Astyanax mexicanus: one gene and its partners. The protein of the gene in region 1 purifies or fractionates together with the protein of each later gene. This does not show direct contact. Links are inferred from orthologs where the notes say so. Each region holds a gene or a part of one and is shown in the gene's direction. Other genes may lie near its edges. The genes, in order: neurl4, znrd2 and cep97.

Evidence for each region.
Region 2: the proteins of neurl4 (region 1) and znrd2 purify together in Homo sapiens (co-immunoprecipitation; 4 studies listed by BioGRID and IntAct, with this or other methods). This does not show direct contact. The link is inferred for Astyanax mexicanus from reciprocal best matches to the Homo sapiens genes NEURL4 and ZNRD2.
Region 3: the proteins of neurl4 (region 1) and cep97 purify together in Homo sapiens (affinity purification with western blotting; 4 studies listed by BioGRID and IntAct, with this or other methods). This does not show direct contact. The link is inferred for Astyanax mexicanus from reciprocal best matches to the Homo sapiens genes NEURL4 and CEP97.

The regions. Positions count from the first base shown.
Region 1 is NC_064422.1:43,801,901-43,808,130, forward strand, and holds the start of neurl4 (neuralized-like protein 4), read left to right. Parts: upstream 1-3,210; 5' UTR 3,211-3,237; coding exon 3,238-3,402; intron 3,403-6,230. UniProt on the Homo sapiens protein: Promotes CCP110 ubiquitination and proteasome-dependent degradation. By counteracting accumulation of CP110, maintains normal centriolar homeostasis and preventing formation of ectopic microtubular organizing centers.
Region 2 is NC_064427.1:12,650,872-12,657,101, forward strand, and holds the start of znrd2 (protein ZNRD2), read left to right. Parts: upstream 1-2,835; 5' UTR 2,836-2,927; coding exon 2,928-2,943; intron 2,944-2,964; exon of another isoform or gene 2,965-3,626; intron 3,627-4,241; exon of another isoform or gene 4,242-4,275; intron 4,276-4,777; exon of another isoform or gene 4,778-4,842; intron 4,843-5,788; exon of another isoform or gene 5,789-6,145; intron 6,146-6,230. UniProt on the Homo sapiens protein: Might play a role in mitosis. Antigenic molecule. Could be a centromere-associated protein. May induce anti-centromere antibodies.
Region 3 is NC_064428.1:19,875,372-19,881,601, reverse strand, and holds the start of cep97 (centrosomal protein of 97 kDa), read left to right. Parts: upstream 1-2,726; 5' UTR 2,727-2,901; coding exon 2,902-2,965; intron 2,966-6,230. Other genes in the region: rpl24 (60S ribosomal protein L24), read right to left, coding at 2,469-2,544, 2,672-2,676. UniProt on the Homo sapiens protein: Acts as a key negative regulator of ciliogenesis in collaboration with CCP110 by capping the mother centriole thereby preventing cilia formation. Required for recruitment of CCP110 to the centrosome.

The DNA.
Region 1 (6,230 bases):
CCCTTGGTTCGATGACGTCACTGCGCCGCCTCAAGGCAGCTAGAGTGCAACACGGCAGGTACGTCATAGACCGACGTAAGTCAGCGGTACCTGACGGACAATATCTAGCACGGCGTCATATGACATATGACGTCATATGACGCTGCCATATTGGATGGGTCTTCTCACTCTAGGTTAGCGCCACAACTTTATAAGTGAGGAGTTGGGAAAAAAGCTTGACTTCCATATAAACCAAGTAAACTCATAATACAACTTTGAATATATCTATATATATAATTGATTCATCTATACACTTATTTATGCACGTATTAATATGTCTGTCTTTGTTAAAGGGCCTAATACAAAGTATTTATTTCAGCATGAAAGCACGCATTTGTAATGTGTGACAGTTTCCTGTATCATTACTACATCTCTACAGCCGTTTGTTACAAACCAAAGCGTGTGAAACTCGGGTACAAATTATAAGAGTTGTGATTATTATAGTTGTATTAAACACCTTTCTCAGAACAAATAAATGCACTTGGGGCGGTTGGGAGACCCATCCAATATGGCGGCCACGCTGACACGCCATGAGGCAGGCTATGAGGCGTCTATACATATGATGTCTATGAGCCAGAGTTCAATAATTTAATATAAATGTTAAGTTACGTTAACACTGTTTGTCAGATTTAATAAAAAGGTATTATTTCAAGGGAACTTACTAACTAGTTTTTATTAATTAAAAAACTAAATTTATTTATTTAATAAATTTCAGATATTCAGATAGTCCTCTTTTCAAATCAGGTAAACAATAACAGTGATGTCTGTATGCCTGTCTTTGTCAAAGAGCCTAATACAAAGTATTTCAGCATGAAAGCACGTATTTGTATTGTGTGATAGTTTACTGTATCATTACTACATCTCTGCTGTTTGTAACAAACTAAACCGTGTGAAAATCGAGTGGAAATTGGGAAAGTTGTTATTATTATAGTTTTATTAAACACCTTTTTCAGTACAAATAAATGCACTTGGGGCGGATGGGAGACTAAATGTAAGCTCCAATAGGGGACGTACCTGGCCTCTCTTACCTGCTTGGGCAACATCAACAGCAGCAGCAGTAAGCAAAGTAACCAAAATCGACTGTGGAAGAACATAAAGAGAGTTGGTGGAATATATCTGTCTTGTGCATATATACTCCACCCATGTGACGTCAAACCATCTGCATCTTAGCGCTACAGAGGTACACCCCTCGGCCCAATCAGCTCTCCCTTCTTTCCCACCCCTAAACCCATTGGCACCTCCTAAACTACTACTCTCATTTTTTTAAATATTTTTTTTTAGGTTTGAGCTGAGGGTGGAGTGATTTAAAATCAGGGGGTTTAGTTTCCACTTCATCAAAAAGGATGCACAATCCCCACAGGCTAACGAACACTACAAATCACACAGTTGAGCTGCTTCTGAATGCTGCTCAGCAACTGGTTTGTGCAAAAAGAAGGATTCCTTTTAATAAAAAGATCAAAATTCAGTGAAAATAATAGAAATGTGGGCTTTTACAGGGCTTTTATTTTTTAATAACACACAAGAATGTCTCAATGTTAACTGGCCTGTGCAAACAAGATGATTCAATTTAATTACAGTCTTAGAATAAAATAAAATAAAATAAAATAAAGAATGTGACCATTGTAAGTGATTTCATTTTGAAATGCTTCAAGGGCATTGTGTGTTTTATAACGAAGATTTACAACCTTTGTTGACCTTTTTTTAAAATGAATATTAAGCATTATTTCTAAAGATATACAGTATTCATTTCAGTTCACAGTCGCCTCTCTGTGACAACATTTGGCAGCACACCCTCCCTGCCAGCGCTGGTTCTCTGTTGTAAACACGCCCCTTACCCTAGTGATGGGAATTCCAGCTCTTTTTAGAGAGTCTGTTCTTTTGGCTCGGCTCACTAAAAAGAGCTGACTCTTTCAGCTCCACTTTTTTTGTTGCCTTTTCTAATTCATTGTGTTTTCTTTCTTTTTAAGACTATATTAAAGCTGTACAGGAACACGTGGAATTATGTAATAAAAACTGTTAAACAAACCATAATATGTTTTATACTTTAGATTATTCTAAGTAGCACATTAATCTTTGAGGACAGATCTGCACACTCTTGGTATTTTTATCTCAGTGTGGTAGAGGTGAGGTAGAGTCACCTGGAATAGTTTTCTCAGCATCTTGAAGTTCCTGGAGGTGCTGAACAATAGTTGCTGCATCCCAAACCACCTCAGTTGATCAGGCTTTGGATCTACAACCAAATAACTATAAAACTGAAACATAGCACAACAAATAAGAACATTTGTGTTTAGTTAGCTTATGTTTAGTATTTTAGACAATCTCAATAACCAATGCTTAAATAACTGTGGCTCCATATACCCTGTGTGGACTGCAGTAGGTGAATAAAAATATTAGCTATATATTTCCTTAACTATGATTAATTACAAATGTGTTGTCTTTAAAGGTGTGAAAATATTAACATTAATTACTCGGTAGGAAGAAGTATAGATACTTGGGTTTAAAATACTTCTGTAGAATGTGGAGCCTCAACCCAAGCTTTTTACTCAAGTTCAAATGTAAAAGTTCTGGTTTCAAAACTACTTAAAATATAATGTAAAAAAGCTGAAAAACAAGCTAAAACAAAATAGGAGTAACAAGGCTATTTTTAAAATGTAAGGAGTAGAAAGTTCAGATAATTGAGTGAAAATGTAAGGAGTAGAAGTAAAAAGTGAAGTATAGATAAGGTAATAAGAAGGTATTTACACTTCATTACTTGACATCTTTTATGATTAATGACAAATTTGTTGACTGTAAAAGGCTTTATGATGGCATGGACAGTATTTTAGCCAGTCATGCTTAATGACCAATCAGTGCTTTAATAACTCTGATTTAGTGACTTCATAAACACAGTGTGGAATTCTGCAGTAGGTGAAGAAAAAAGTATTTATTTTACAAACTATGATTAATTTCGAATTTTGTTGTCTTTAGAAGGGTATAATTGCTTTATTGTGCTATTCTATTAACAATATGTCAGTGGTATTTATATGGTCTTAAAATGACAATAATATCGTTTATCGCAATATTTTCTGATATATCGTGAGAGACCTAATCGGTGCAGAATCAGAAGTCGATTCCCCCGTGGTTCAATTCAAAGAGCCGGTTCTTAGAGCCGGATCGTTCGCGACCGCCCCATCAGTACTGGGCCGCCCCAGCGCGATCATGGCGGCGGAGCTGCATCCGCGCAGCGGGAAGCTCATCGGTCTGTCCAACTCGAACCGGACCGCGCAGCGGAACCAGCCCGTGCAGGAGTTTAACCACGGCCTGGTGCTCAGCCGGGAGCCGCTGCGGGACCGGGACGTCTTCACAGTTCGGATTGACAAGAAGGTAAATCGCTGTGCGGGAGAGAAAAACGGGGCGGCTGGAGTTGGCTGCTTAGCTCTAGCGGAGTTGTCCGGTCCACCTTAAATATTGCAGTAGTCGCAGCCCGGCGCCAGCGCTGTTGCTAGGCTGTAAGCAGTGCGAAATTTAAGGTGGAACGGAAAATTGGTATTTGGTCACCGATGAGCAGCGAAATGTGCTTAGTTGATGATGCGCTTTAACACGCATATGATTGATTTGTGCTCGAAAATTCAGATATTACAGCTGCATTTCTTATTTCAGTGCTTTATTTTAAGGTAAAGAGGTTATATTATCATGTATTAGCTATGTTAGTTAGCTAGCTAACTTGCTAGCTATCTGTTAGCTGCTGCTGCTCGATCAGATAGCTAGCTTAGCTTAGCTTAGCTAGATCTAGCACAGCCTAATTAGTTAGCAGGCTGGGTTAGCTAGCTAACTAACTAGTTAATTAACCTTTACTAGTTAACAATTTAGCTGATGAATACAATATTTAAAGCTTATTTACATACTCGGTTATTGATAAATACACACTTTTTAAAGTAACAGGAGATTAACTGGCTGTCCTTACTCTATGTTTATGTCTATTTTAGCTGGATGCTAAAAAGCTAGGCTACGCTAAGCTAAGCTAAGTAGCTATCTAACGCTAACAGTCTCACTGACAGCCGAGCAGTGGCAGCTTATAAATAATAAACACAGAATAACAGCTCTCGGATCTGGGTAATACTGTACATTAAGGCTCACAAAAAATAATAGGAAAATCACGCTAATAAACACTGTTACGTGGTTCAGTAATGCCTCAGCTATTTATTAACTGACATTAATTAAGACATAAGACAGGATTCAGGATTCAAACAGTTTATTGCCACAGTAAGGAAACAAATTTCCTTGTACAATAAAATTCTTTCTTTGCTTTTCCCCAAGTATACCTCATAAATAGAAAAATGAAAAATACAATAAAAGAAATAATATACTAACTAAATATTCACAAATTTTAAATTGTTGTTAAATTTACATCAATAATTTTATACTGTATTTTACAGACACGGATATATATAAGGTGCAATATCAATAAAAGTCTATTTTTATACATAAGGTGCACGGGATTATAAGGCGCATTGTATGTGACACTAGTAAGGAACAAGGGTTTCACCATGTTTCCCTTCTAAATTCACATAATTAAACAAGTGCTGGGTGCTAATCTACATAGATGTCTCTCCTGAAACATCTCCTGTTTATTTGTGTGAGTTAAGCACTAACATTTATTTACAGTAAGCTATTTTAGCATTAAAATATGTTAGTGGCACTTAGCGCTAGTAAATGCCACCTGAGAACGCTACACTGAGGAACCCTGAGCGTTTTGGAAACCCAGGGCGCTATCAGCCAGCGGGTCGTCCCGCGTAGCTAGTAGCTGTAACACGGTAAACACGCAAACTACAGTCCAATATACTTGGCTGCTAATGCAAATGCTGCTCCAGCCTTGGTGCTGGAGAAACTTTGCTCAAGACGTACCCTTTTATAATGCTATACTTCAGCAGAGTGACTTTACTGCTCCTTAATACCTGACTGGTAAAATTCATACATAAGGAGCACCGGATTAGAAGGCTCACTGTCAATTTTGGGGAAAATTAAAGGATTTTAGGTGCATCTATAGTTGGAAAACTATGGTACAAGGAAGAACATTACTATCTACAGCAGTGAGATGTGACAAAAGTGCAAAAGGTTCAGTAGAGCAATTGTAAACATTGTTACAGTGAAGTGTAGAGAGTGAGGTGCAGGGTTATTTTGTCTGAAGTAGGTTCAAGAATCCGATGGCAGTGGGGAAGAACCTGCAGGCTTGTATGTTACAAAATGTTAATGCTTTAAAATGCTGTAAATAATATTGAATCTTAACTGGAGGACTAAACTAGGACTGGAGTATTTTCTGGATGCAGCACAATGTTATTGTCTCGTATGATGAGTAAGCTAGCATTAAGAAAGTGGATTTATTTTATTTTTATGGATTTTAAACTCTTTCAAAGCGCTCAGTTAATGGCTTCCTGTAAACTGCCAGGTCCTGGATATTATGAGTAAATGCACAAAATCAAATTGCAAAAGTTTAAAACTAACATTTATGGGCATTACATCATAGATATACAGATCCTATTCTGGTCATTATGATAGTATGATACACTGGTTGAACATCTAAGCTTAATTTGAACTAGTTCTCCTTGAAATAATTGAAAGTCTGTACAATCCAAGCTGTTATAAAAATCACGTCTAAACATCTCAAATGTCCATTCAAGATAACTGTGATGCAATTTTCAGCATGAAGCACTAAGAATACATTTAAACAGCAGATGTTTATTTAGGGCTGTTTACACTGTTTTTAGTGTGACCTCTATCTGACATTTGTCTGAACAGTCTTTTCTGTGCTAAAGAACAGCGCTTCACATGAAGTTTCAGTTTCATCTTCTCCAGCGTTACAAGGCAAAGTTCAGCCTGCAGCTGGTTTTATAACCAGGAATACAAGCTCTTTGTGGAAAAAAGGGTTGCTGCTATTTAGCTAAGGATACTGCTTTAGTTTGTGTTCTGTACTTTTTATAAGCTCTTTATTGTCCTTTGACACTACAGCAATAACAGTTTAACTAGAAACACAGGTCACTTGCTTTTATTATATCACCAATGAAACCTTCACTCTGACACTTTTGTGCATTTTCCTCATTTTCTTGCATAATTTTTCACTTTTCTCCAATGAATTTTGTAAACTCTTCTAATAAATGCATGTAACTGCTTGTTGTTTCACCAATTGTTGACACAGATGTTCAGATGCACATATA
Region 2 (6,230 bases), on another chromosome or scaffold:
TGGTGTTTTTATTTTGATCTTTTTTACATATAGCAAGTCTGTAAATTACTTCACATTTTATTACACCTTCAGAGATAACATTAACATCTACATACTCAAGTGTCAATTTATAATGCTTGCCATGTATAAATGAATGAAATAATAAAAAAATAAAAAGAAATAAATAAATGAATAGAGCCAGAACGCATTTATTCGCATAGGCCTTATCTAACTAGCAGTTTATTTTTCTGTAATCTAGATAGACTAGGGGATAAATTACAAACATCAACCAGAAAATATTTTTCTTTGTCCTTGAGCAGTTGATGTAGAAACTGCATTTTACACATTATCAATTTAGTATTAACGGGTGTATAAGACATTTTAGAAATTTAATTAGTTTACCATTATAGCAAACCTGTTTGGGTTATACCCGTCTTATGGGGGGGTGGTCTTTGACCAGTTGTAAAATTCTGCATGGTACATTTTATCAGCAAGCTCATAAATTTGCCAAAACTCTGTGATTCATGTTTAGAAATGGGAACCAAATACCATGTCTCTAAATGTGGTCCTGTATCAATATGCTACTAACCATTAAAAATGAGGTATAACACATTCATCAAAATATCAGTTTATTTTACTCTCAGAGAGAGCATGAGAGCAAACCCCCATCCCTCTCAACACACTCACACACACACACACACACACACCACTTCCTTGCTCATTCATTTGCTCAATTTAAAATGTACTCTTCACAGCTCTGTAAAATTTAAAATCCTTTATTTTGACACCATATTTACATGCTGTTTGCAACAGTGTGGACGGAAGTACAACTTGGCATTTCCTACCAGATCTGTGCCCATGCTCATTTTGCAGTGCGCATGCGTGCACATGGCACGGCACAGATCGGGTAGTGGCTTTAGGTGTGTCCCAGTTCAGGGGCTACATCCTTTGAAGGATGCGGTCTTCGATGGTGTGTCCTTCGAAGGATGGGAAGGCTGCGATGGCTGTGTCACTACCCAATCTGTATTCCCTGCCAGATTTGTGCCGTGCATGCGCACTGCAAACTGAGCAGGGGGCACAGATCGGGGCTGCGTCCAGAAACCCCAAAAGTGTCTCCATTTCCTACCGATCCTCCTACTCTCCTCCGTGACCCGGAAACTGATTTCGTGACGCCATCTTGCCGCCTGTCCGAATACCGTAGAAGACGAAATAAGCCGCTTAAAATCCACCTGTAGTAGGCCTCCAACGGAGGGTACATCAGTGCATCCTACTCCGGAAGACTTTTAAGGATTTTCCAATGACATCACTGCATCCACGCCCACAAAGCACGTGGGAATGGAGAAGGGAATGCACAAATACAAACATTAAATAACTAGGTTCCTTATCTAATTATACAGCCAGTAAAGCACTAATATATTTTTTTGTTTAGATAAGCTGTATGCTCAGTAGAACTATACTATACTATACTATATTAATGATCCCATATTTGTAAAATTATATATATATATATATATATATATATATATATATATATATATATATATATATATATATATATATATAGCAGCCAAAATGCCTGGGAGTAGCAAAAGTTTCTGGACGCAGCCCGGGTAGCCACGGCTGTCAACAGTTTTCGGCGTTGTGAGATCTTCCGTTTTCTAAATTCTAGATCAGGCATGTCAAACATACGGCCCGCGGCATAAATTTCTGAGTATGTCAAAAAAAGAAGCGAGTTTCTAGCTCGTGATTTTGTTGTGATTTTTTTTAAATGAATACAAATTAAATGCTCTCTCCGGTCGCTAGAGGGCAGTAAATGTCCCGCATGCAGCACAGACACGGCAATCTTGCTTCACCACAGCAGCAAGTAGACTGCAGGAATGCAGTGAGAGATATAGAGAGAGAGAGAGAGAGAGAGAGAGAGAGAGAGAGAGAGAGAGAGAGAGAGAGAGAGAGAGAGAGAGAGAGAGAGAGAGAGAGAGAGAGAGAGAGAGAGAGAGAGAGAGAGAGAGAGAGAGAGAGAGAGAGAGAGAGAGAGAGAGAGAGAGAGAGAGAGAGAGAGAATAAATGTGTTGTGCTTAGAAAAGATCCCTTTTCATCCATGATTATAATATGTAGGGTAGGCTAAAAATGTAGGCTGAATAATAAAGCATAGTACTGAAAAACAAAGCTAAATATTTGGAGTTGACATTCTTTTACTGATCCGGCCCACCTGAGAACAGAAAGTCGACATTCTTTTACTGATCCGGCCCACCTGAGAACAGAAAGTCTGGATCCGGCCCCAGAGCCAAACTGAGTTTGACATGCCTGTTCTAGATAGACTGATGGGTGTTTAAACTTATTATAATTCGAATTTGTTAAAATGTATAAGCCTGTGGTGTTTTTATTTATTTATTTATTTTTACATATACCAAGTCTGTAAACTACTTCACATTTTATTAGTTTATCTTTCTGTAATCTAGATTTAAATTACAATTTAAATTACAAACAAAATACAAACATCAACCAGAAAATAATTTTCTTTGTCCTTGAGCAGTTGATATATAAACTGTGCATTTTATGCTTTGTCAATTTAGTATTAACAGATGTATAAGACATTTTAGAAATTTAATTAGCTTACCTTGGGGCGGTGGTCTTTGACCAGTTGTAGTATTTCTCAAGATAACAAAGAATTTATGTGTAAAAAAAACATAATTTTATTCTTAAAATACACAGCAAAGTATTATAAATAACAGCTGCCTGTACCTGGTTCTGCATGCGTCAAACAACTAACACCAGTTAATCCCTCACTGAAATTCTGCATGGCACAAATCGGGCAGGGGGCACAGATCGGGTAGTGACAAGTGTCCGTATACTGTTGCAGTATCGCTCCCTGCACCGGTCCTACAGGCGGCGCTCTCTCTGGCTGAGCTGCGCTCTATGCCGGTGCATCTTGCTGCAGGAGGGCGAGCATGGCGCTGAACGCAGGTGCTTTTACAGCTTTAGAAACACTTAGAACATTTATTTAAACTATTTTCTGAGTTGGATACGGTTTTTTATTTTACTTCAGTTCTGTAAGAGTAGTAGAAATCCTAAACTTAGCCACTGTTCGCGTCTGGTTTCAGTATCGGCACGGTTAGCCTGCGTGCTAAAGCTAACGTGTGTTGTTAGAGCGGTTGTGTGTATGGAGGTTGGGTGTTGTATCTGTGTGAACGTGTAGCCTATAGAGTGTTTATGATGTGTTTAGACGCGCGTCTGTGTGGCTAATCAGAGTGAAATTAATCTCTGGATGTTAGGGGTGGAACGGGGAGTTCCAGAGAGCCTAAACTGCCCTGATAGCAGACTACTCCGATCCGGATCCGTTTTACCTCCGGCAGATCCGCGCTACAGTCAGGTCTGTTTAGTGGATCTGGTCCGGCTTCACTCCGGGTTCGGGTTATGATTGTGACTCACGTTCAGATCCGTTTTACTGACGGTAAATCCGCATAACAGTCCGTCTCATTTCACGCCTTCCATATGACTTCGGCACGGAGTCAGATACCAGACGTGAGTTCAGTGTCAGTTCAGTGTCGTTTTGCGGATCCGGGCCGCATCGGCGGAGCGGCACAGGAGCGGGAGAAATTCAAACTCAGCGCGAGGACCAACTGACATCTGCTGAATCTGCGCTTCAGGTGAGTTAACTAGCTAACTAGCTATCAGCGTCATTTAATTACATTTATTGCTCATTTTTAATCTTGTATATGCTAAAGTTGATTTATCACGTGTATGTTGGATAATATCAATTGTTTTTTTGTGTATTTAATGTTAATTGTTGTCAATTTGTAGGCAAAATTGACAAAAAGCTTCAGTTAACGATACCAGTTAGTTATGCTAGTATTAGCTAGTATAACTAGCTAAGCTAACCAGGCTAACTAGCTGAAATAAACGCTGTTAACTCATTTTGCTCGAGTAACACACCTTTTTTTTATTAAAATAAACAACTTTAGTTATTCTTAGAACCTTAAATAGTTGTGTTTGGGCTTAATTATAATAAAGCTCGTCAGACGTTTTCCTGCTCCACCTTGTATAGGTTGCTGCAACAGTGATTAATAGTTAGGTTTACAAAACTTGCCTCATTTAGTTTAGTTTGTTCATTATTTGCAAATAAGTTTTTGGATAACTCAATCTGGATACATAAAGTCTGATGCAAATCTGATGTATGGTAAGTTAAAGTTCAGCCTTTATTTTAAAAAAGAAAATGCTTAACTTACAATACTGAATGTAATTTTGTTTTGTTTGTTTTTTAGGTGTAATCATTTACCCATCAAATCACCTAACAAGGTAATTAATTCTATTTTCCAGCAGTTCTGTAATTAATTTTGACTTTAAGTCTGTTGATACACGTTTGATTTGATATGTTTGCTCTTAATGTAGCATTTATCCACTTTCTTATTTTAATTGTTTGTTGTGCCACTGCACTAAAAACTTTAAGGGACACTGTAAGATTTTCTTGATTAATTTATATACATTTTTAAAGAAGTAAATTTACAACCATAAAAATTAGTGTTCCACTCCATTGAGCTGTAATATACAGAATAAAAGTCCTCTCATGTCTGATCTGGGCTCCACTGTGTTAAAACAAGGCTATGTAAGTATTTGCGTGCCCTGCTATCAGAACTTTCTCAGCCTCGTTTCAACACCGTGGAGGTCAGATCAGACATGAGAGGAATATTATTCAGTGTATTACACCTCAATGGAGTGAAACAGTGATTTTGAAGTTCAGAATAGCTTTTAAGTTTGTGTATTGTTTTCTGTCTGCGCTTGCTGCATCTCCCCCTCGCAGGATCAGCCTGGATCCTAACAGTACTTGATGCACTGAGCAGTGACATTATACATAGAGTAGTTAAGGTAAGAAATATACATTTCTTTCCTTTTAAAACATTTGTGTTACGTATAATAACAATTACATCAGGCGTTATCAGATCGAGGTTCAAATTATCAAATCAAATTGTTGGCGGGGACCATTTAAAAAATCACTGGATATTGGTGTCCGTGCTAACTCTATACCCTTGAGTAAAGTAACCAAGTACTAATACTTCATTACTTTTCATCCCTTTGCTTTATCTTAAATGATTGCCACCTTTTGAACTAAAATAATTCCTAATCAGTTGTCTATTCCTGACTAGAAAACTAAAAATAACAGTTTTAAAAGTTTTGCTTTTTTTTAAGCTGGAGAGAACTACTGCAGGATTTCTCCAGACTCACTGTAATTACACATGGTCACCATGACACACTAAATAGGACAGGGGTGTTTTTCCTGAAAGTGATCAATCTTAGTGAATAACAAACAAACTAACGCATGACGTGAGAAAAGAACGAGCCAGTTCTTCAAGTGTTTCCCATAGAGCTTTGCAAAAGGTTCAAAGAGCGTCTTTGTTGACTCCTCCCCTTTGCAATTCCTGTAAATCCTGTATTTCCTTGGGAATTCCATATAAGTGTGTGTATGGTGCAGTAACAACTGGGTTACAGAATGCACAGACTTGGAGTCTGCACACTTGCTAAGACCGTGACCATCACCAGTTGTCTGCAGGAAACCACCTGTAGCATAAAATCAGTGGGCAGTTAGGTGGTACATGGTGGAACTCTGTGGAACTGAGTTGACCTAGAGGCACACATATATACAGTGAGGAAAATGAACACCCTGCGACTTGGCAAGTTCTCTCACTTATAAATCATTGAGGGGTCTGAAATTTTCATCTTTGGTGCATGTCCACCGTGACAGACATAATAAAAATCCGGAAATCACAATTTATGATTTTTTAAAAATAATTTATTTAATTTGCAACTTTCTCAGCAGGATTTGGTATCCGCAAAATGGTTCGAGGTCCTCAGCCCTCGCCTCCCCCAGCACAGAGGAAAACTACCAAGGGCGGTACTCTCATTATAGGAGATTCAATTGTTAGACATTTAAAAGTATCTAAGAGTAATGGCACAATTTCATGTCTTCCAGATGCTTGCATGCTGGTAGTCGGCAAGCGGCTCCCTGGGGCGCATTGCCAAAGCAGGAACCCCGGCACCATCGCCCTCCACGTGGGGATGAGCTTTCGGGAGCGACCGGCCCCGTTCCACAGAGACAGGCTTCTCTCTGTGAACATCGAGGCGGTGCTACGCTGAGACTGACTGTCTCTACCCAGTCACACCAGCCAAGTAGGTTTGTTTGCTGGTATTTCTGCTTGTACTATTTGTATGTCAATTCTTCATAATAGTGTAAATAAAACACGTTATCAAAATAGCTG
Region 3 (6,230 bases), on another chromosome or scaffold:
TGCTGGGCTGATGTGATGATAGCAGTGGAGCGCTAAAGTTCAGGAGCAGCTGCTGATTAACTAGTTAATTTTAGGCCGTTGTATTTCTTCAGAAAGGGGGCAGGAGGTGGAGAAATTAATTCATATTGTCCATTCCTTAATTCCTCTGTGATGAGGAGCTGAAATTAGCTCTGATTAGCTTATTGTTATTTTTCCGTTCCGCCTTAAATGCTGCAGCCCGCTGCCACCTGTTGCATTATTTAAGGTGGAACTGGAAAGTTAGCTAGTTAGCTAGCTAACAGAAACGGAAACTAACTACTAGCGATCTTTTTTATGCTTGTTATGAAGCATTCTGCCATAAAACATTAAAACTACACGTTAATCTAAGGTAATATAATGCTTGTTCTGCCATCTTACCGGTGATTCTCATACACCTACGCTCTGTGTGGGTCTGACGGTAAGTTCAAACTGCAGCGGCCACTTGTCGCTTTGGGCAGTGGGAGGCGGAGCGAAAAACGCTTCGTGCCGCTGCAGTGTGAACTTACAGTGAGGGGTAGGGCCAAGGGAAGAAATGGGATTGGACCTTAGAATCGATTTTGGGACATTTTAAATCGATTCTGAATCGTAGTAAATGAGAATCAAGATTCTTATGTGAATCGATTTTTTGGCACACCTCTACAAAGTAGGTAAAAGATGAGCTGAAAGATTTGGCTCCTCTTGTTGTGATGAGCCAACAGATCTCAGTGCACGTAAGTAAAGTTAATACTTTTACAATTTCGAAGTCCTGTACATATTTATGCACCATACAAAATTAGTTATTTGAGTGGCCAGTTTGACCCCAGGCTGTTTTAGCTATTTTTGCTATAAGAAATAAAATGTTTCACACATTTGAGGAAATAGTGAGATTAGTATGACCTAAGCCAACAACACTATGTAGTGATGTTGTAATGCAAGAACCACTAATCCCGTGGCACAGATTTTACCAACAAAATTAGTTAAAATCATTTTTGGCTGGTTTGAATTGCTGGGGTCCAAATGGCCCCAAGGCTGAAGAGGCATGACCACACGATCCACACTAGCACTAACAGAGTAATGCTGTTAAGGCTGTTTAAAACGGTCATCGATAAAACATCCGTCATGATCAACCACATTTCCATGGCAACACGTAGATTGTCAGTTTTTTCCTTCATGTAAAAGTGACAATTATTACTCAGCGCACAAGTTATTAGTTGTTACTAGTTAAGATATGACATGCATTTGTGGTGCAACCATATTAATGAAAGGATAGTAAAAAGCCAACTAGCAGTAACAAGACTTGGTAGAGACTTTACAAACAAATTAAAGAAAATAACTTGCGCAAAACAAGTGCAACCCAGTCAGGGTGTCTAGCAAAAAGTAAATATATTACCAGTGGGTAGACCCTTATCCTGAATATATACTCGGCCAACAAAACTACTCATGTGGGACTCGCATGATACCCATCGATTCGTGCTGCCTAAAGGAACTGTGCATGTGTTACCTACACTATATACAATATTTGTCTTATGTACCATGACTTTTCTGCATCTTCAAGACAAGGCAAATTGATTATAGTAGGCCTAAAATATACCTAATAAATGCTGACAATTTTAATAATAAAATGTGTGTCAGATCCTGAGCTTCATTATGTAGGACTAAATTACAAAATTAATTCTGAGCTGATGCATATTAGCTCAATTATCTCCATCAATAAACACAGAATTGTACCCAAAATGACTTTTACAAAACTTAAGGGTATTTTATTTATCCAAAAAAAACGTAGTTAGGCCTAGAAATTCCTGTTTTCAAATTCCAGGACTATTCCAGGTTTTTCATGCCTGTATGAACCCTGGACATGGGCAAGGCTAGGAGGGTTCTAGATAGGCATGGGCTCTGAGTGGGTTTGTAGTTACTTAGCTAACTAGGTTAGATACACATGTCTGGGTCCCAGTTAAAATAATAATTATACACTGCACACTATTAACTAGCCACGTTACAAGTGGAGCTGACTTGTCAACATTTCTACAAACATCTTAAAAGGCAGTCAGTTAAGTTAGTTAGTTAGTTCAGAAACCCAGCCAAAAGCACCGGGACCTGGTTAGCCAGCTAGCTAGCTAAATACCCTACTGGTACAGCAAAGCCACCATAGTAGTCTCGTTACACCCAAACAAAAACGGTAACTTAAGTTAGTTTTGGCCAAACAGCCATTACACAGCGCATTAGCTAAGTTGACCTGTACAGAAGCTGCCCGTGGCGTCCACAGGCCGGGTTGAAGCAAGCTAGCTAAGCTAGTTAGCCACCAACTAAATAAACTACCACTAGTTTAGTCAGATTTCAAACAGCACACTGCAACCAATGAGAACACAATGTTTGATTACATTAAGCTACATTACATTATAAAACACGTATAAATAAGTGTGAAATGAATAACAACTCTGTGGCGTGTTCGGTTCAGTGTAGCTAAGCGTTACCTTTCCGTCGATTCTGGCATATCGCCGGCCATGGCCGGGATAGATTTTGTACCCGCTGAAACTGCACAAGTCGACCCTGCAAGTCACAAATATCACAAGAATATCTAAATAACATACTTTTAATTCACCCCCGGACCAAAAAAACACGGATATTTAATGGATTTAGAGGTAGATGTTTACGGATTATTCGGGACTGCGCTTACTTCATGGCGGCGAATCCGACAGGGAAGAGGAAAAGGAATTGTGGGTATCCGGTTTATAAAGATACCGACTTGGTGAAAACGTCATATTTACGCAAAAGGACCACACAGCTGGAATCGTATTTTGAAGCAGAGTCTCGCAAAAATGTGCAAAAATATTTTTAAATTTTAATTAAATCAACCAATCAGATTTGCCGTCGGTTGCCTGGCGGTGGACGACTCAAGCGGGAAGCATGGCGGCGACGGAGAGGCGAGCTATCGTATCTGATCCGGTCACACAAATGACTAATTATGAAGGTACGGAGCTGTGCTGGGATTTGTAACCGGCGTGTTTATGATATTTTGGTTTATTAATGATACCTGAGGCAGTGCTGTGATATAAGGATAGACGCATTTCTGGTATTGAGTAGAGGTTGCTAACCCAGATCCAGAAAGTAAAGAAATATGGCTAACCCAGGTCCGGAAAGTAAAATTCCATCCCAGGATTTTGTACCAACGGCCTGGATGGCTCTTCTGCAGTTGAGCTACACACAGGCACAGGCAGTTTGTACAAAACCCTGGGGTGGATTTTTACCAACCGGACCTGAGTTAGTCACCTCTAGTATTGAGTAGTTATACTGCTGCGCTAGCTTAGCCTGAGTGTCTGTTATCGTTAGGTTCGTGTTGACAAGCTGTGTGTGTGTACTGTCGGTAACGCAGCTGTATTGTTCGTGTTAGCAGTTACTGCTGTTAGCTAGAAGCGAGGGATTAATCTGTCAGAGCTTTATTCGCTTTATGTAACCTGTTCAGTTCATATCTGTAGGTATGTAAGTTATAGTTTGTATCGAGTATATCTTCTACTGGAAACACTGTAAAGGCATTTTAAGGTGTTTGTAGGTTTAAGGTTCTGTAATTCTGCTGAAGGTCAGAAGTCATTTCAGTAATTAAGTTCAAAATAGGAAATGTATATGTTATATACAGTTGTGGTCAAAAGTTTACATACACTTGTAAAAAAACATAATGTTATGGCTGTCTTGAGTTTTCAATAAGTTCTACAACTCTTATTTTTCTGTGATAGAGTGATCGGAACACATACATGTTTGTCACAAAAAACAGTCATAAAATTTGGTTCTTTCATAAATTTATTATGGGTCTGCTGAAAATGTCACCAAATCTGCTGGGTCAAAAATATACATACAGCAACATTAGTATTTGGTTACATGTCCCTTGGCCATTTTCACGGCAACTAGGCGCTTTTGGTAGCCATCCACAAGCTCCTGGCAAGCTTCAGGTCGAATGTTTGACCACTCTTCTTGACAGAATTGGTGCAGTTCAGCTAAATGTGATGGTTTTCTTGCATGAACCCGTTTCTTTAGCACTGTCCACATGTTCTCAATGGGGTTTAAGTCAGGACTTTGGGAAGGCCATTCTAAAACCTTAATTCTAGCCTGGTTTAGCCATTCCTTTACCACTTTTGATGTGTGTTTTGGGTCATTGTCTTGTTGGAACACCCAACTGCGCCCAAGACCCAACCTTCGGGCTGATGGTTTTAAGTTTTCCTGCAGAATTTGGAGGTAATCCTCCTTCTTCATTATCCCATTTACTTTCTGCAAAGAACCAGTTCCACTGGCAGCAAAACATCCCCAGAGCATAATACTACCACCACCATGCTTGACAGTAGGCATGGTGTTCCTGGGATTAAAGGCCTCACCTTTTCTCCTCCAAACATATCGCTGGGTGTTGTGGCCAAACAGCTCAATTTTTGTTTCGTCTGACCAGAGAACTTTCCTCCAGAAGGTTTTATCTTTGTCCATGTGATCAGCAGCAAACTTCAGCCGAGTCTTAAGGTGCCTTTTCTGGAGCAAGGGCTTCTTTCTTGCACGGCAGCCTCTCAGTCCATGGCGATGTAAAACACACTTGACTGTGGAGACTGACACCTGTGTTCCATCAGCTTCCAAATCCTTGCAGACCTGCTTCTTGGTGATTCTTGGTTGACTCTTGACCATCCTGACCAATCTCCTCTCGGCAGCATGTGATAGCTTGCGTTTTCTTCCTGATCGTGGCAGTGACACAACTGTTCCATGCACTTTATACTTGCGTATAATTGTCTGCACAGTTGCTCTTGGGACCTGTAGCTGCTTTGAAATGGCTCCAAGTGACTTCCCTGACTTGTTCAAGTCAATAATTCGCTTTTTCAGATCCACACTGAGTTCCTTTGACTTTCCCATTGTAGCTTTTGTAGCTGAGTCTAATCACTGGGTCAAATGAGCCCTATTTAAATGGGCTCATGAGAAGTCAACAGCTGTAGTCAATCAGAATCACTTACAAGAAGTGAAGAGGCCATGACATGAAGCTAATTTGATTGACACAACTCGCTACATCACCAAAATTGACAATTTTTGTTGCTGTATGTATATTTTTGACCCAGCAGATTTGGTGACATTTTCAGCAGACCCATAATAAATTTATGAAAGAACCAAATTTTATGACTGTTTTTTGTGACAAACATGTATGTGTTCCGATCACTCTATCACAGAAAAATAAGAGTTGTAGAACTTATTGAAAACTCAAGACAGCCATAACATTATGTTTTTTTACAAGTGTATGTAAACTTTTGACCACAACTGTAGATGTATTACACACAGAGTGTTCTGTTTTAAGCGTTTATTTCATTTATTGGTGACGATTATGGCTTACAGTCACTGAAAATCCAAATAAAACCCTGCTGGAAAATGAAATCCGTATCTCCATAAAAGTTGTTAACAAAGTGCTGTAAGATTTTTTGGGAAAACACTTCACTGACTTTGGACTTGATATAACACAGTGGACCAACACCAGCAAAATACATGACTCTCCAAACATCACTGACCGTCAGTAAATTGCATTGCATTGCATTGCATTACATTTGGAAATCAAGGAAGCAGAATCTGGAGGAAGAGTGGAGAGAAACACAGTTCAAGCTGCTTGAGCTCTAGTGTGAAGTTTCTACAATCAGTGATGGTTTGGAGAGACATGTCATCTGCTGGTGTTGATCCACTGTGTTTTATCAAGTCTAAAGTCAGCGCAGTGTTTTCACCGAAAATCTTACAGCACTTCATGCTAGTGGGTGATTAGTGGGTGGATATTTCATGGTATAATATTCTTTATAATATTCAAAAATGTTGGTGATATTATTGCGTACGGTACAAGATGGCACACCCCTACACTAGACTTATATTTGCAATATTGTATTAATAAAAATAAAAAACTATGTTTGTTGCTGCTGTTGATATACATAGTCAAAAGTCTCCTTTTTTGTTTTCCCGTTTTGACAGTTTTTTTTTTTACCTTGTGTCTAAATAGAAACACTCCAAATGACTTGGAATAAAGTATTTCTATATTGTCTTGATCTTTTTCTTTCTCCTATAAAGTAATTGTCTTGGAGATACAATGATTTTACATGACAGCAATGATATGATAATGTACATGCTTTCTTGATGTTTACATGAACTCCCAAACATTTTTGTAAGTTTCTGTTTTCAGTGGGGACTGATTGTATAAATCTGTTAGAGGTGTATTGTGATATTAGGGTTTGAAATACTAT